Canis lupus familiaris: one gene and its partners. The protein of the gene in region 2 purifies or fractionates together with the protein of the main gene of each other region. This does not show direct contact. Links are inferred from orthologs where the notes say so. Each region holds a gene or a part of one and is shown on either strand. Other genes may lie near its edges.

Region 1 (4,355 bases), on a different chromosome or scaffold from region 2:
GCCACACACAACGCCAGCATTTTCTTGGCTTTTCTTCTCGAAATACTCGTACCTGCCAACCAAGTCTTGGCACAAAAATATTTTGCCTTTCTAAAAAAAAAAAAAAAAAAATTGGTTCTGACGTAGCAAATCTAGAAGTCGGTACGCAGCAAAGGCACGGAAACGAAAAGGCGCCGAGCCGCCCGCGCTCGCGGCCCTGGCGCCCCGGTTCCCCACCCTCCGACCCTCCTCTGGGGCAAAATCCCCCGGAACCCGGGCCTGCGGGGGTGAAGTCCGGGGCGGGCGCTCGCCCCACCGCGAAGCCCTGGCAGCGCGAACGTCCTGTCTGGCGGCCGGGGCAGCGCCACGAGGGTCTGTCAGAGCGCGTCGGGGTCCCGGCTACCGGGCGAAGGGGGACGGGGAGCGCCGCCCCGGGGAAGCCGCTGCGGCTCCTCAGGTAAGGAGCCTGCGGTGCACGAAGCGGCGCCCGGTCCCTCAAGACACACACCTGTACACCCGCTCCGCAGGCTCCAAAGACAGCGGCGCTGTGGCAGAGCGATTCCACCCCGGCTTCGGCCCCCTGAGCCCCGCCCCCGACCGGCCTCCTCCCGGCTGCAGGACGGCCTTGGACGCTCGCCCGCCGCCGCCTCCCGAGGACTGCCGCCCTCTCGGCCGCCCCAGCCTCTCAAACTCAAATCCTGAGGATCGGGGGGCGGGATAAGAGGGGAGGCTGCGCCCAATCCCGGCCGAGCTCCGCCCACCGCGGGCTGCACCGAACTACATGTCCCATGAGGCTGTGGGAGCCGCAGCCTTCCACCGGAAAGAGGCTCGCCGCTGTGGGGGAGGAGCCCAAAAAGGATTGTGGGAGAAGGGCTCTTTCCTTTCCGTCTGGCGGCAGCCATCAGGTAGGCTGTGTGTTGGTAGAATTCGCTGCTCCATCCGCCGCTCATCGGTCTTTGCCTCAGCCATCCAGACTCGGGGACCCTGTGTCCTCGGAGCTCCTCCTGCCACCTGTGCGGCGCGAGTTCGGTCAGGATGCGGGGCTGCGCGGGCGTGCGGAGGCGGCCCCCGGGCGGGCTGGGGCGGTGATGTGATGGCGGCGCGAATTCGAGCGGGGCCGGGAGCGTGAAGGAAAGGAAGCCTGAGGCTGAGGGACGGAAGGCCGGGCCAAGAGGGTCCTAAAGCGAGCGAGGCCTGTGGGTTGAGTGGAGTAAGGGCTTTTTCCTCGAGAGTCCTCCTTCAGGGGCAGCGGCTACAGTACCTTCCCTAGGGCATCAGCGAGGTCTCTTTGCAGGCCAGGGCCTTGGGGACGCCGCCCGCTGCATTCAGCAGCCTCCCCGCCCCCATGCCCATCTAGCGCCATCCGTTCGTCCGACAGAAATGTACCGAGTCCCTGCGCTGGGGTCGCAGAGGTGACAGCCGTGCTCCTAGGGCGCAGCTATCCCCTGCAGTTCGCGAAGAGCCATTTTCAGTCTCCGGTTTCCTTATGGCGGGTGGGGAACTAAGATGGACGGACGCGGTCGTCTCATTTTAAATGCATGGTGTTTTTTGTCTCCAGGGTAGGCCGAGATGGGTGCGTACAAGTACATCCAGGAGCTATGGAGGAAGAAGCAGTCCGACGTCATGCGCTTTCTTCTCCGGGTGCGCTGCTGGCAGTATCGCCAGCTCTCTGCGCTCCACAGGGCCCCCCGCCCAACCCGGCCCGATAAAGCGCGCAGACTGGGCTACAAGGCCAAGCAAGGTGAGTGGTCTCTGCATGGATCAGATGATGTTCCTCGGGGAATGTTAGGAAGCTGGTAATTAGGTGTACTGTGGCCCCAATGTCTTCTTTCACTTAAGGTGTTGGTAGAAACTGTCTTCAGCTAGCAACGCACAGAAATTCTTGACCGATAAACACTGAACACAATTGTCTATAAAGTACCAAAGACGTTCTGCGTTACAAGTCTGTAGGAATCGGACTAAAGCAAAATAAATTGTAGAGTGGGAATGAGAAATTATTCTCCGTGTGTACTTCGAGAAACACTGGAATGGGTTTATTTTTAGAGTAAGTCTTAAATGGATATTTGTTTTACCTTCAGATATTTATTATTTGGCTTATATAAGACCACTGTCGATTTGTTTGTATAGGTTATGTCATATATCGGATTCGTGTGCGTCGTGGTGGCCGCAAACGCCCAGTTCCTAAGGGTGCTACCTATGGCAAGCCTGTCCATCATGGTGTTAACCAGCTAAAGTTTGCCCGAAGCCTTCAGTCTGTTGCAGAGGTAAGTGATTTTTCAGTAGCAGTTGTATCAGTCACCTGGAGGTAGTGGAGAAGGATTTGAGCAACTTTTCTTTTTTTTTGAGCACCTTTTCTAATTATTAACTTGTACGTAGGTGAACCCTGTTGTGTTTGTGATTTTTACTGAGCTGTCTTAGTAAAGCATTGCTGTCGGTCTTAGTCTTTGTTACTAATCTGTCTCTGTATAATGGAAAGTTTTATGATTAATGTGGACCTTGGAACCTAAGCTTTTGAAGGGCAGTAAACTTGGTCTTGAGAGCACATCTCCCCTGGATGCACAGAAGCTGTGCATATGGCTGATTTTCTATATTTGGTTGTAAGTTGTTTTTCTGCATTAAATGAAGCTGTGCTCTGTCTGCCCCAGAGGTTGACAAGCAAGGGTTTGTTACCTTCTGTAAGCTAAAAATGTTTTGTTTTTAAAAGAAAAGGCAAAGATGACTTAAACTAGAGACTTGTGGCTTGCAAAGCCTAAAATAATGTGCTAAATATTAGGGTTCTGTATGAAAGGTTTGTTGATCCCTCAACTGTGTTAGGGAAAGACTAAGTTCCTCAATTTTAATAGAAATTAGCATTCGTGCCTTAGTCGGGGGGGGGGGGGGTGGTGATAGTAGCAATGGTTTAAAGTTATAGAATGTTTTGTGTGTTACTTCAGTAAGTCTTAACTGTATTTGGGGTCCTAACCCCTGGGTAAATCTTTAGTAAATATTCAAGCAGTTAGTGAACAGCCTTGTCTCTTGCCTAGTGTGGTAAATTAAAGGGAATTCCTACTTCCTAACTTCCTACTGTGGGAAATGGGAGGCTGACCTTGGGCCTTTTTTCCTGTTCTAGGAGCGAGCTGGACGCCACTGCGGAGCTCTGAGAGTCTTGAATTCTTATTGGGTTGGCGAAGATTCCACATACAAATTCTTTGAGGTTATCCTCATTGATCCATTCCATAAAGCTATCAGAAGAAATCCTGACACCCAGTGGATCACCAAACCAGTCCACAAACACAGGGAGATGCGAGGGCTGACCTCTGCAGGCCGCAAGAGTCGTGGCCTTGGGAAGGGTCACAAGTTCCACCACACTATTGGTGGTTCTCGCCGTGCGGCATGGAGAAGGCGCAATACTCTCCAGCTCCACCGTTACCGCTAATATAAGTAATGTTTGTAAAATTCTTACCTAATAAACAATTTAGGACAGTCATGTCTGCTTAAAAGTGTTCTTTAATTTGTCTGTTAAAATTAGTTGTCTGCAGATTGTCCCATGAATGCATTGTCAAATTATGAAAAGTGCAATAATGTTTGAAGACTATAAGTGATGGTGTATCTTGTTTCTAATAAGATAAACGCTTTTGTCTTTGCTTTATCTTATTAGGGAGTTTATATGTCAGTGTTTAAAATGCTGTTTGGTATAATAGGTGTAAAATAAATTCTGTAAAAGTGGAATGCAGAAGCTAGCCATGTAGATTTGTTGGTGCATGTAATGAAACCTACAGCTTCATGGGGTGCTGAGATGCTCTGGTTTACTCTCAAATGGCCGTTTTTAGGGGTTTGGTAAGAACAACCTTTTTAAACTGGATTTTGCTTAGAAATGTGAAAAAATATCCTAATCTTTAATCGTGATCGTATGCAGAACAGTGTTAAATAGGAAACACATTTTTAGATTGAATCCAGTGTTCCAATTATGTAACTGCTGCTTTGGAAAGAATGCCACCATTTTTAAAAAATTGAACAAACCTGTTGTAAGAAGGTTTTCTTAAAAATGAAAATAATTCTGCACAATGGAAGCAAAATTGCATGGGTTTCCTCCACAGTACCATTGAAATCCACATAAAAAGTGGAGGCTCCTGGTTTTATCCCACAACTTAATGTAGAATACCGAATTTCATACTAAGCAGTCAGTTAATGGTATTTACTCTGGTCTATATGAAAACTGATGGAAATTGAACATTAGGCAAATAAGACTTTACCTTAAGGTTTGTAAGCTAGTAACTAATGCTAGAATTGGGAAAATGGTGACCATCAGCCTTTCAAGTGTGAAGATAAAGTTAACTTTGATCAGAATTTTAAATACTTTATCCCTGGTCTTTATCCACTAGACACCTTAGAGGAAA
Region 2 (3,591 bases):
TTGAAGATATTCACCATTATAGGTGGGTTTAAATTGAATATAATAAAATGACATCGAGGGCTAATTATATCTTTTCATTTTATTGAGTCTTTGCTGATTACCATGCATAAATTGTCTAAATTTTAAAATAATAATGAGGTATGTAATGTACCCCTGTTTTACAAATGGAGTTGTTGAGGATTAGAACAGTTGAGTAACTTGTTCCAGATTGTGTAGATAGTGGTACTGGAATTGAAACCTTGGCTTGTTTGACTTCAAAACCTGTGCTCTTAACTGCTGTACACTGTGGTCACAAGGCTTTAAGCTAGAGCCATCATAAAAATGAAAACCATCAACATGAATATGAAAAGGTCATAGAGGTGGTACCACTCAAATAGCCTTAAAGATAATCGAATATAGTGTAGAATTTCTTGGAACTGGATAAACATTGGCTTTAGATAGTTAAGAAAAACTCTGGAGTTGTAAAAGATTGAAATATTAGAATAATTACAATCTGTAAAGTGACAAATCTGCATAAAATCGACTACTTTAAAATAATTGTTACTGTATTAAATATACTTTATATTCTATTTCTCTGAGGGTTTATGGTTTTCAAAAAAGTGCATATTAAATATCCCATTCATTAACTATGTTCTATAATAGTGAGTTAGCCTATTTGAGAGGTATGACATTTTATTAAATACATTTCTTACAGCGTGTTTTGTTTGTAGTCTAGTGATAGAGAAAAAGAAATTTTTTTTTAAAATTTTTATTTATTTATGATAGTCACAGAGAGAGAGAGAGAGAGGCAGAGACACAGGCAGAGGGAGAAGCAGGCTCCATGCAGTGGGAGCCTGACGTGGGATTCGATCCCGGGTCTCCAGGATCGCGCCCTGGGCCAAAGGCAGGCGCCAAACCGCTGCGCCACCCAGGGATCCCAGAAAAAGAAATTTTAACAGGTGACTTTTTTTAGAATAGTAAATAGATGTCAGTATGTTAAGCTGTAAAGTTAACTTAGCTATTGAGTAGAGGAACTGGGAATTTGAAACAGTTCTGACTCCATTGTTCCTATTTCATGCTGTATCTTTGAAATTCACCTAAAATTGTGAAAGAATATAATTTTACCCCAAATTAAGAGTTTATGCACATCTTATAGAAAAAAAAAAAAACCAACCCAATTTGTAGAAGGATTTGTAACAGAATAAACAGTGTAGTAAGGTCAATGTTAACCATGTAGAAATCAGAGTCTTTCCAATTGGTGCTCTTTTTTGAGAAAAATATGTGAAAATTATGTCATAAAATTCTATATGTATATAATAACATTTAATATATGTTTCTAAGATTATAATTTTAAAAATTAGGCACAGCACATTTTTAGCCGAATTTTTCAGTATTTCCTGTTTTATCATTGTGACCTACCTGCATATGGACCTATTAAGTTGTAGTTTTACTATATTTCTGGGTATTTTATCTTTTAAGAGACATAGAAATTCTCTGTTTAAGTTGGAGAAGAAAACAAAAGGAAAAGCAAGGAAAATTTGGTGTGGTTGGAAATCAGGAATTAATTAAATGTCTTCTTTCAGCCATGTTTTATAAGACAAAATTATGGATAATTTTTGAAAGATTTATTTTGTTACTAATGTCTCTGCTATAACTTTTTTTTCCTCCCCAGAGAACAAATTAAAAGAGTTAAAGACTCTGAAGATGTACCTATGGTCCTAGTAGGAAATAAATGTGATTTGCCTTCTAGAACAGTAGACACAAAACAGGCTCAGGACTTAGCAAGAAGTTATGGAATTCCTTTTATTGAAACATCAGCAAAGACAAGACAGGTAAGTAAAATTTTAATAAATATGAGTCGATTCTCCATAAACTATATCAAATAATTTTAATCATCAGTCGTAATTTGCTAACATATATTCTGATAACATCATTTTGAGGGCAGGAAGGCAAGAACATTGATAAATGTACATACCTGATTGCATAACTGTTATATCATTTCATGTAACTTAATTTTTCTTCCCATCATGCTAAAATAGAGAATAAAACAATGTTTATTTAGCAAATGTTCTCTTAAGGATAGGAAAGGGCAGCATTTTTTAATCCAGTGTCCATGGTATTGCTTTTGGCTTTGGTTTCTTTCCACATATGAATATTTCTGTTCAACTCAGCACATCTTGCATTAAGCATTCAAGAAATGTAGGGATTTTTTTTTTTTTCAACTGTTATATTTATAAAGTCAAAGATTGGGAACAAATACTGAGTTTCCTATTTTAGAAGTGTTTTGAAGAGTATTATGTCATGTGTTTCTAGATTAAATTCTATTGTATTTGAAGAATTTTACTTTGCTAGAATTATATTTAGATACATTTATTTTTGGAGGAAGTTTTCATTAAGCAAAAAATATTTAGAAAGTAAATAGAAATTCTCAGTTATTCATTTACTGTGGTGTTCTGAGAAAAATTAATGCTAGATTGACTCTGAATTTTAAAAATTATCTTCATTTTTAAAAGTAACTTTTTCTCTAGGTAAAATAATTTCAGTTGACATTATTTAACCTGTTTGTATGAAATGAGAGTTTAACGTATAGAAAATTCTAGAAAGGAATACATAAAGATATGATGGAATATAATTTTCATATATTAAAAATTGATCAGTTATATTCCCTTCAAGACGAACATTTATTTTGGGCTCTGCTAGTTTAGTACCTGTGAACCCACAAAGCCAATTTTGTGGAATTAACTTCTAAATGCTAGGAATTAAGAAAATTGATGAATACTTGTTTAAATGTATAAAAACAGGTATTCTGTAACTTTTATTGAATTTGTAAAAGGGTAAAAATTTTAAACCATCTTAATGGTTAATTTTAACCATCTTTTAGCTAATATTATGTGTCTGTTTTCTTAGTGGAAGATCACATTTACTGCTTCCTGATTGTACAAATTTGATACACACTGAAGAAATAATGAATTCTCTTCTTTAGGGATTAAAAGCTAAATTTCTGTAGCTTGATTATAGTACAAATATCTCATTCTAAAACCTGATTTATAGGTTAAAGAATGATGTTGTATACAGCACTTCACTTGAGTTTAGTGGAATTAAGATTTCATTCAAATCTATTCCCAGGTCCCAAAGACTGGGAAAAGTTTAGTTTTTGTCTTCTTTTTACTGGTCTTCTCTAACCAGACCTCTTGATTTCTCCTATAGAGGAGGTATTCATAAAACATGACTATAATATCGATAGCTTTTCTCCAAACATTTTCTTATGAAAATATTTCAAATGTAAAATAGGACTATTATTAAAACCATTTATCAACATACTGCCTATTACTAAATCATATCATTAACATTTTATTAACCTGCAGTATTGTAACTTTTAATACTTTTTAGACAACATTAGTTAATATTTTAATTTACATTTTATAAAAAAAACATTTTGCCTTATGTTGGTAAAGGGCTGCAAATATAGCAGGGCTTCTTATGCTTAATATGCATATTCAAATCCAGATTCTAATCAGTGGGTGGGTTCAGGTTGTGACCTGTGACCCTGCATTTCTAACAGACTCAAGTGATGATGATTTTGGTACATGGACCACACTTGGGGTAGAAAGA
Region 3 (4,183 bases), on a different chromosome or scaffold from region 2:
GAGACCTGGGATCGAGTCCCACATTGGGCTCCCTGCATGGAGCCTGCTTCTCCCTCTGCCTGTGTCTCTGCTTCTCTCTCTCCTCTCTGTGTATTCTCATGAATAAATAAATAAAATCTTAAAAAAAAAATAAAAAATAAACCCACAGGCCCCACTTTATCTCCTTGTCTCCGCCACGTGCAGACGCAGTGGGTTACTAACTGCCCCCCCACCCTGCCAACCCAGGGCTCCTGGCCACCAGCCATTCGGTGGCAGTGAGCAGCAGAGGGTGCTGGGACAGCAGGTAGCCTCTCGTAAGAACTTTACTCCATGAGATCTGCCCAGAGGGACAGGGGAAGAGAGGCACACAAGGGTGCTGCTATGAGAGGGCCAGGATAGGCCCCGGGGAGGGGGCTCCCCGTCAACACAGCTGCCAGAGCTGTTTTTAAAAATATATTTATTTGAGAGAGCACGAACAGTGGGAGGGGCAGAGGGAGAAGCAGATACCCTGCTGAGTAGAAAGCCCGACCTGGAACTCGATCCCAGGACCCTGAGATCACGACCTGAGCCAAAGACAGATGCTCAACCACTGAGCCCCCGCCCCCCCTAAATCCATTCTTTAAAATACTTGTGGGAAGTTCCATATCGTGAGGAAGCAGCCTGGAAACACCCACCTCATGACAGTCTTCCGCTACAGAACCCTCCCCTGACAAATTGTGCTCCGAGTCTGAGTGCCCAGCGCAGGTAGGTGCCAGCTCCCCCACTCCGTGGGTGTACTCGGGACCCCCCTGCCGGTGTGCTTGGAGTTGCTCCCGTACAGGGATGCTGGTGTCACATTCAGCTACAAAACCTATCTAATGTGCCGCGGTGCTGACCACACTGAGCACCTGGGCACAGAGGTGCCGCTCTATTCACTAGAACATTATATTTACTCCACTGGCTACACGTTACCCTCAGAAAATGGTTTAGGGGAAGTTATGCAGGAAAAAAAAACATGGCAAATAAAGGCAAAGAAAGAATCAGATCCCAGTTCACAACATCTCAGAACTTTACTCAAAAAAGGGATGGTGAAGAGGTGAAGCAAATGGAAAGTTCTGTACCTTTCTAACGGGGACACTAAGCACATGTGGCTTCATCCACGCACATGGGGGCCACAGGCTGGTTCTCCCCACTGTAAACGTCAAATGTCAGGGGGAGGGCCGGGTTTCCCTCGGCCAGAACCCTGCACTGCAGAGGCGGCACCCAATCCGTCAGAACTGCACAAATCTCAGTCGGGGGCACCTCTGTGGCTTGGTTGGTGAAGGGTCTGGGGTTGGCTCTGGTGGTGATCCCAGGGTCCTGGGGTCGAGCTCCAGCTCCCATAGGGCACCCTGCTCAGGAGGAGAGCCTGCTTCTCCCTCTGCCCATGTGCGTGCTCTCTCTCTCAAAAATAGGGCAGCCCTGGTGGCTCAGCAGTTTAGCGCCACCTTCAGCCGGAGGGGATCCTGGGGACCTGGGATCAAGTCCCATGTTGGGCTCCCTGCATGGAGGCTGCTTCTCCCTCTGCCTGTGTCTCTGCCTCTCTCTATGTCTCTCATGCATAAATAAAATCTTAAAAAATTATAATAATAGTAAATGAAATCTTAAGAAGACTTTCTGATATGCGTGCCTGGGTCAGGCAGGGCCTTCCTTACCAGGACATCCTTCCTTCCTTAATAAATCCACGCTCAGCCAATCTGCGTGCAGTGAATGAGGCACCTGGAAATCATGTGTCCGGGGACCTGCTCTAAGGCATCCCTGGAAGATCGGGGAGGCTGCGCCGGGTCAGAGGGACCCCCTGCAGCCCACACTTACTTTTCTCCAGCTACTTTCCGCACTAACTTGGCCTCCGTCCCATTCATGTCTAGCTCCCAGCCCCCAGACATTTTGGGGAGGGACTTGTGCTTCTGTATTTTCTTTTCCTCCTTAATCTCATCATTCAGGAACTCGACGAAAGCTTTGTCCCCTGCAATGAAAACCCATAAGATACAGAAAAAGAAAAACCAGTCAGTCTTAAACCAACAAACGACTTGGGGTGATTGCTGTGGGAAACCTGGCCTCGACCGATTCTGATGCTTGTGCTGTTACGGAGGCTCTGGGCACGGAGTCAGACCCACGGGGCCTCGGTTCCCAACCTGGAAACGGGCTGGACACCCGTGGCAGGAGGCTGAGCTCAATTCTGGAAAAATGACTTCCAGCAACGAGCCCATCACCGCATTTCACAGCGAAGCCAGGCGATTCCCGTTACCCGCCCCAGACCACACACGACCTCCCCTGCTTTTAACTCTGACCAGCCGCCTCCCCGAATCCACCTCCGAGGCTCAGGATAGAGCCGGCTGCCGGGGTTTAGAAGCATCACCGCCAGCCAGGGAGCCACCACTCTCGGGATTAAGGCAGGAAACCTCAAGCCACGTGGGATTAACCTGGAGTCGTCCACTGCAGGGGGTCGTGAGTTTGGGGCCTTGGGCCCCCGCCCCCCTGGCCGCGGCTCCCCGGACCACCGCCCCCGCCGCGCCCCAGCCTCACCCTGGGTGTGCAGCCCGCCGCAGCCGCAGCCGCAGCCGCAGGGCCCGCGGGAGCGCAGGAGGCCCGCGCGCACAGGGAGGAGCCCGAAGGGCCGCACGCACGGCCGGGGCGCGGGCCGCAGCAGGGTCGGAGGCGGCAGGGCGGGGGCGGCGCGGAGCCCGGCGACCGCCGAGCCCAGGGCGCGGGGCACTCGGCGCAGCAGCGGTAGCATCGCGGCAACGCACGTGCGGGCGCGAAGGACGAACCAGGCCCGGATCCCGGCTCGCGCGCCGCCGGAAGTCCCGCTCCTCCCCGGGAGCGCTTCCGCGCCTGTGCAGTGCCGGCCCGGGGCGTCGGGCTGGCAGCGCCCTCTGCTGGGGCCGCCGAGGTCAGCGGGGCCGCCGGCGCCGGGTCTCCCCGCGGGACCCCGAGCCCCGAGGGTAGCTCCGCTCCGGGGCCGGCCCTCTGAATTCCCGCCACCCTTACCAAGCGTGGACACCACCCCGGCGTGCACACCACCTGTGTGCACCTCCCCAGCATGCACAGCCCCGGCACGCGCACACACACGGCCCCCAGCGTGTGCCCCTCCCCCCCACCAGCGTGCACCCAGTTCCCAAGACTTTGCATTGTTCTGGGACCAGGAAGCTGGGAGGAGGAGGGAGGGGCCCAGAAAAAGAGAGCTCTTAAGGCCCCGGAGAGGTCACTTGGGGCCTCCAGCTGTTCTTGGCACCCACACCCTACTCCTAGCAGCTCCTCGAAGAACCTCCTAAGGCGGTGTCAGAATCGCAGATGCAAAAGCCTTAGTCGTTACGGATTTTAAGGAATAAAAGGGAATGCAGAACTACGTGGGCGGCCGAACCGCATCCCAGACTTCAACCTCGCGGTACAAGTCCCAGGGCTGGTCCAAGAGCAAGGCGGGTGTTCCCATCGGAGATGAGCCCAAGACCCCAGCCCGTGGCCCGGGGGAGGGGGGGGGGAGGCGCTAATCGCCCCTTCCCCTGGCCCCACCCTCACAAGGTTAAGGTCTCCCCCGGGGGGAGCAGGGGCCTCATTGCCCTGACAGGGCGCAGGTAAAGGTGTTTTCAACCTTGTACCTGAGCAACCTGATGGACGCCCCTGCGCAGGGAACACAGCTGCTCTCCCTGGATATTCATCCCTCACCCTTAATAACCTGCTCGCCTCTGCTTGACAGTCACGGCTTTGGAAGTTATTTCCTTCCTCCTCCTTTGCTGCAAATCCTTTAGTTTCCTGTGTGGGGCTGCCCCTGGGGTCGTCTCTGGTGGAGTTATTTGGAATGTCTCCGTGTGGTTTGGTTGGGTCCTGGGCATCTTGGAGCTAAGTGGTGGTTTCATTTAGCCCAGGGCCAGGAGCCTGGGGCAGAAGGCATGCAGCCACTCCAGGGCTTGGGGAAGTAAGGGTTAGGGAAGATTTAAGAGGATAGGGGCACCTGGGTGGCTCAGTGGTTGAGTGTCTGCCTGTGGCTCAGGGTGTGATCCTGGGGTCCTTGGATTGAGTCTTACATAGGGCTCCCCGCAGGGAGTCTGCTTCTCCCTCTGTGTCTCTGTCTCTCATGAATAAATAAAATCTTTTAAAAAAAATTTTTTTTAAGAGGATTTTCATACACTGAAGAAGACTCTGGAAACCTGAGGCCTGGCTGTTGTCAAACTCAGAGTCGAGGGCT
Region 4 (4,218 bases), on a different chromosome or scaffold from region 2:
GCTATTCTATATTTCTAACCAGGAAGGCAATTTTCTCCTATATCATTGTTTTGTTTTGTTTTTTTTTATAAACAACAACTTGAATTCTATTGCATGAAAGGGCTACAAATATACATTTGTTAACCAAGCAGAATACACAAATACTTTGCTTTACAACTTGCACCTAAGATACCAGTACACGTAGCTGGTTCATTAGTTGTCATAGCAATTTCGGGCCACTGCCCAAGCTATGCGTAGCAGTTTACATTTTCAAATCTTGTGTAGAAAGGGCAATTGTGATATGGACTGTTAACTACATTCCCATAAAGCCCATCTTCGTTACAAGTAAACGTGTAACCAAAGTCTGCACAGATCTTTGATGGCAAAATTTCTAAATCTGATGCAATTATCCTAAACAAGTTTTTAAAACAAATGGTTTTTGCAGAGATACTGCCATTCTGCCAGTAGATGGTGCTACAAAGGTTGGGGGAAGGATTTCCAAGAGGACAACAGTTCAGCTATAGGAAAAAACGTTTAAACCTGCTCTGAAAATACAAAAATGCATTTAGTTTAAGGGTAAAATATAACCCTTCTTTGTAACCATTTATTACAGACAAACCAGTAAGAGGGATGAAACTAGGCCATCTGAAAAATTTTAAACAGTTTATATGAATGAAAACACATGCTTAACACAAACTATTTCTTTTTGAACTACCAGTACATACTTTGAAGTAAATTCTCATAGAAAGAAGTGACCAACCATGTCAAGATAAGCAAATCGCTTAGTATGAGATGGATGCACAGAAACTTTGAAGATTTTAAAAAACTACATCCACCACTTCAAAAGTTTTGCCTGTAGGGATAAAACTCAACACGTCACTAGAAGAGCAACAGGAAAAAAAAAAAAAGCCACCAAAGGACCTTTTAAAAGTGTCTTCAAGTACACATCAAGAATTTAGAATTAACACGAAAAAATTTTAACTAATATCCCTTAAAACGGTACGTAATAGATCCTAGAAAAAAAATGTTAGACATATACGGTCAAACACAATGATTTATTAAAAATAAAACGTAAAAATGATTTTTGTACATATGTGTCCAAATTTCAGGCATGGGATCCAAGTAGATTTCATAGAAAACGCTGTAGCCAGATATCAAGTCCTTACAACAAAGTAAACTACCCCCCCCCAACCCCCGCCCAGGTTTTGCTACAGAATCAGCAAGTTCACTCCCTCCCCCCCCAAAAAAAAAAACACAAATTAAAACAAGACATTTTGCTAGTATAAAAACGACCAAGGTCCAAGTAATAATAAAAAAATAGAGTCCATCAATGACTGTAACACAAAAATGTGTATGTGGGGCCGAGTCCATCTTCAGAGGGAGAGACAAGAGAGGTGGCAGGCAAATAGGGCAACACCCCCAAGGATAAGCAGCCTTAGAAGCGGCTCCCCCAAGGGCAAAACGGGGAAGGCGGTGGTGGGAGAGTAAAGAACGTAGGAGTTACCCCAGCTGGGGTGTAGAAGAGCTACCCCTATAGCCACTCCCAGGCATATTTAGATTTCTTTTTAGAAGGAGCTGCCTCCATAACCACCGCCACCGCCGTAGCCGCCTCTGTAAGGTCCACTGTTACTGCGACCGCCCCAGCTGCTGCCACCGCCGCCGCCGCCGCCGCCGCCCTTCATGGGCCCGTAGGAGGACTGGTGCTGGCTGTAGCTGCCGAAGCCGCCGAAGCCGTTACCGTAGTCGCTCCCACCGTAGGACGAACCGCCTCCGCCGCCTCCGTAGGCATTGTAGCCGCCACCGCCGCCGCCGCCGCCGCCGTAACCACCGTAGCTGTTGTAACCGCCGCCGCCGCCGCCGCCGCCCTTGGACAGGCCGTTCTGGTCTCGACCCCCGCCGCGGCCCCGGCCGCCCCGGCCGCCCCGGGAGGACCGCGAGCCGCCTCCGCCCCCACCGGAGTGGATATCCTCCTTGGGCACGGCCTTCTTCACCTCCACGCGATGGCCCTGGATCGGGTGGAACTTGACAACCGCGGCCTTGTCTGCCGCGTCGTGATTCTGGAAATACACGAAGCCAAAGCCGCGCTTCTTGCCCGACTGCTTGTCGGCAATAATCTCGGCCTTTTCCACCGTGCCGAACTGCGAGAAGTGCTCGATCAGGTCGCCCTCCGCCACGTCTCCCTTAAGGCCCCCGACAAAGAGCTTCTTAACCTTGGCGTGGGCACCGGGCCGCGCCGAATCCTCCCGGGACACCGCCCGCTTCAGCTCCACCGTGTTGCCGTCCACGGCGTGGGGCGAGGCGGCCATGGCGGCATCGGCCTCCTCCACGTTGGAGTAGGTCACGAAGCCGAAGCAACGGGAGCGCTTGGTCTGGGGGTTCACCACCACCACGCAGTCCGTCAGAGTCCCAAAGGCCTCGAAGTGGCCGCGCAGGCCCGACTCACTCGTCTGCACGTTGAGGCCGCCGATGAACAGCTTGCACAACTGGGAATTCTCCATCTCCACGGCCCGGGCCTTCCCCCCGCCCTGCGAGCTCCGAGGTTTCGCCGTCGCCGTTATCGCTGGCTAAGGCCTCCTCACAGCTTGGGCCCAGCCGTTGCTGGAGCCGCCACCGCCGTCACCGACGGGGAAGGGAGGAAGGGAAGGGGAGGGAAGGAGGAAGAGAGGAAGGGGGAGGGAAGGGGAGAGGTGCTGGCTAGAGGGCGAGCCGAGGAGACTGGAAGACAACCAAGGCCGTCACTACCGCCACCGCTACCGCTACCGCTACCGCCACCGCCGCCACCACCGCCGCCGCCGCCGCCGCCGCCTCCGCTCCCCTATCTGGGCACCACACAAAGAGGCCGCTGAACGCGCGCGCACCCTCCCCGAGGCGTGCGTCACCGCCGACGTACGGCCGCCCAGCGCCGCCCGCCAATCCCTGCGTCGCTCTCCCTAGTCCCGCCTACCGCGCCGCGGCGCCGCTCTCGGCCACCGACTCCCCGCCCTCCGCGGTCGATTCAAGCCTTCGGCCTGCGCGGCTCCCGCCGCCGCCTCTGTAGGCCGGGCTTCACGCCCCGGCTCCCCGGGTGCCCCGACCACGGACGCCCCCGGCTCCCCGCGCAGCTCCGCAATTCCTCTCCTCCCAGCCCCGCGGCTGTTCCCAGCGTGCTGCCCCCTCCCCTTGCCGTATCCCCTCGCCCCACTCCGCAGTGGCGTTCGCGCCAGCCCCTTGAGGGACGTGCGGCTGCAGCCAATCACCGCGATGCGCTCGCGCCCACTTCCGGTCTCGGCCGCCGCTGGACGGGCGCGCTCCCCGGTGCGCCCCCCGGGTGCAGAACCTGCCTGCCGCCCGGACGCTGCCCCTGGTCCCGGGCTTGGGGCGGGGGGGGGTCAGCGGGGGCGCGCCGGGGGCAGTTCCCAACGGATGCGACCTGGGGCGCGCCACGCGCGGGCTTTTTGAAAACTCGACTGTTGGGGTTGGGGGCCTGGGCTCCCCCGCCGCGGTTCGGCGGGGCCGCTACACCTGGCAGCCCGGCCGCCCCGCCCGCACAAAGATGGAGGGCAGAGGCCTGATCGGGAAAGGCGGTTACTGACGGTTTCCCGGGGGCCCGAGCCTCAGGTAAAGTGCAGCGCGGGCGCGTGGTGCCGCGCAGGGGCGAGCCCGAGGCCCGGCGGAGGTCGGCGGCGTGCCACCAGCGGCTCCGACTTCCCATCGAGGCGCGGCGCCAGACCCCCGCCACCCTCCGGCCCGAAGCCCACGCTCGCTCGCGCACAGCTGGCATTGCCCATTGACCGAGGGGAACACACCGTTTTCTATGTTGACGTTACCTGTGCGTTGCTTCCTTCCCAACCAAACCGTTAGCTTTTTTTTTTTAAAGGCATTTTATAACCTGGAGCCAAAGGAGTTGAAGGAAGCACGTAAATACCACGCCCCCCTGGTAACCGCCTTACCGACCCTCCCTCCCGTGCAAGAGAAAGTCAGGTATAAGGGCTTCCGCGTCCTGGACCTTCGTGTGCCTGTCAAGATCCAACGAGGGGGACGCTGGTACGAGACAGTGCATGACCAAGATTCCCGCCCCCCCCGCCCCAAGCCAGGTGGTAAATAGTGAAGAAGAGGTATTACTCCTCCCTGCACCTTGGAGTATTAAGGATTGAATGGTGAAACAAGTGGAACTTGCACTCAATATGGAATTCAAAGGCTAGATACAATTTCTGAAGGGACTCTAAATAAGCAAAGTAGGAAACAAAAGCCACATAAAAT

Evidence for each region. Proteins that work in one complex are often made in the same cells at the same time.
Region 1: the proteins of KRAS (region 2) and RPL15 purify together in Homo sapiens (affinity purification with mass spectrometry; 3 studies listed by BioGRID and IntAct, with this or other methods). This does not show direct contact. The link is inferred for Canis lupus familiaris from reciprocal best matches to the Homo sapiens genes KRAS and RPL15.
Region 3: the proteins of KRAS (region 2) and C1QBP purify together in Homo sapiens (affinity purification with mass spectrometry; 3 studies listed by BioGRID and IntAct, with this or other methods). This does not show direct contact. The link is inferred for Canis lupus familiaris from reciprocal best matches to the Homo sapiens genes KRAS and C1QBP.
Region 4: the proteins of KRAS (region 2) and HNRNPA0 purify together in Homo sapiens (affinity purification with mass spectrometry; 3 studies listed by BioGRID and IntAct, with this or other methods). This does not show direct contact. The link is inferred for Canis lupus familiaris from reciprocal best matches to the Homo sapiens genes KRAS and HNRNPA0.

Annotation. Positions count from the first base shown.
Region 1 is NC_049244.1:20,166,953-20,171,307, reverse strand, and holds the start of RPL15 (60S ribosomal protein L15), read left to right. Parts: upstream 1-1,537; 5' UTR 1,538-1,548; coding exon 1,549-1,720; intron 1,721-2,106; coding exon 2,107-2,243; intron 2,244-3,088; coding exon 3,089-3,394; 3' UTR 3,395-4,355. Other genes in the region: NKIRAS1 (NF-kappa-B inhibitor-interacting Ras-like protein 1), read right to left, coding at 488-929.
Region 2 is NC_049248.1:24,260,117-24,263,707, reverse strand, and holds part of KRAS (GTPase KRas), read left to right. Parts: coding exon 1-22; intron 23-1,651; coding exon 1,652-1,811; intron 1,812-3,591. UniProt on the Homo sapiens protein: Ras proteins bind GDP/GTP and possess intrinsic GTPase activity. Plays an important role in the regulation of cell proliferation.
Region 3 is NC_049226.1:31,558,844-31,563,026, reverse strand, and holds the start of C1QBP (complement component 1 Q subcomponent-binding protein, mitochondrial), read right to left. Parts: upstream 2,819-4,183; 5' UTR 2,735-2,818; coding exon 2,524-2,734; intron 1,964-2,523; coding exon 1,813-1,963; intron 1-1,812.
Region 4 is NC_049232.1:25,501,714-25,505,931, forward strand, and holds the start of HNRNPA0 (heterogeneous nuclear ribonucleoprotein A0), read right to left. Parts: upstream 2,819-4,218; 5' UTR 2,478-2,818; coding exon 1,545-2,477; 3' UTR 1-1,544. UniProt on the Homo sapiens protein: mRNA-binding component of ribonucleosomes. Specifically binds AU-rich element (ARE)-containing mRNAs. Involved in post-transcriptional regulation of cytokines mRNAs.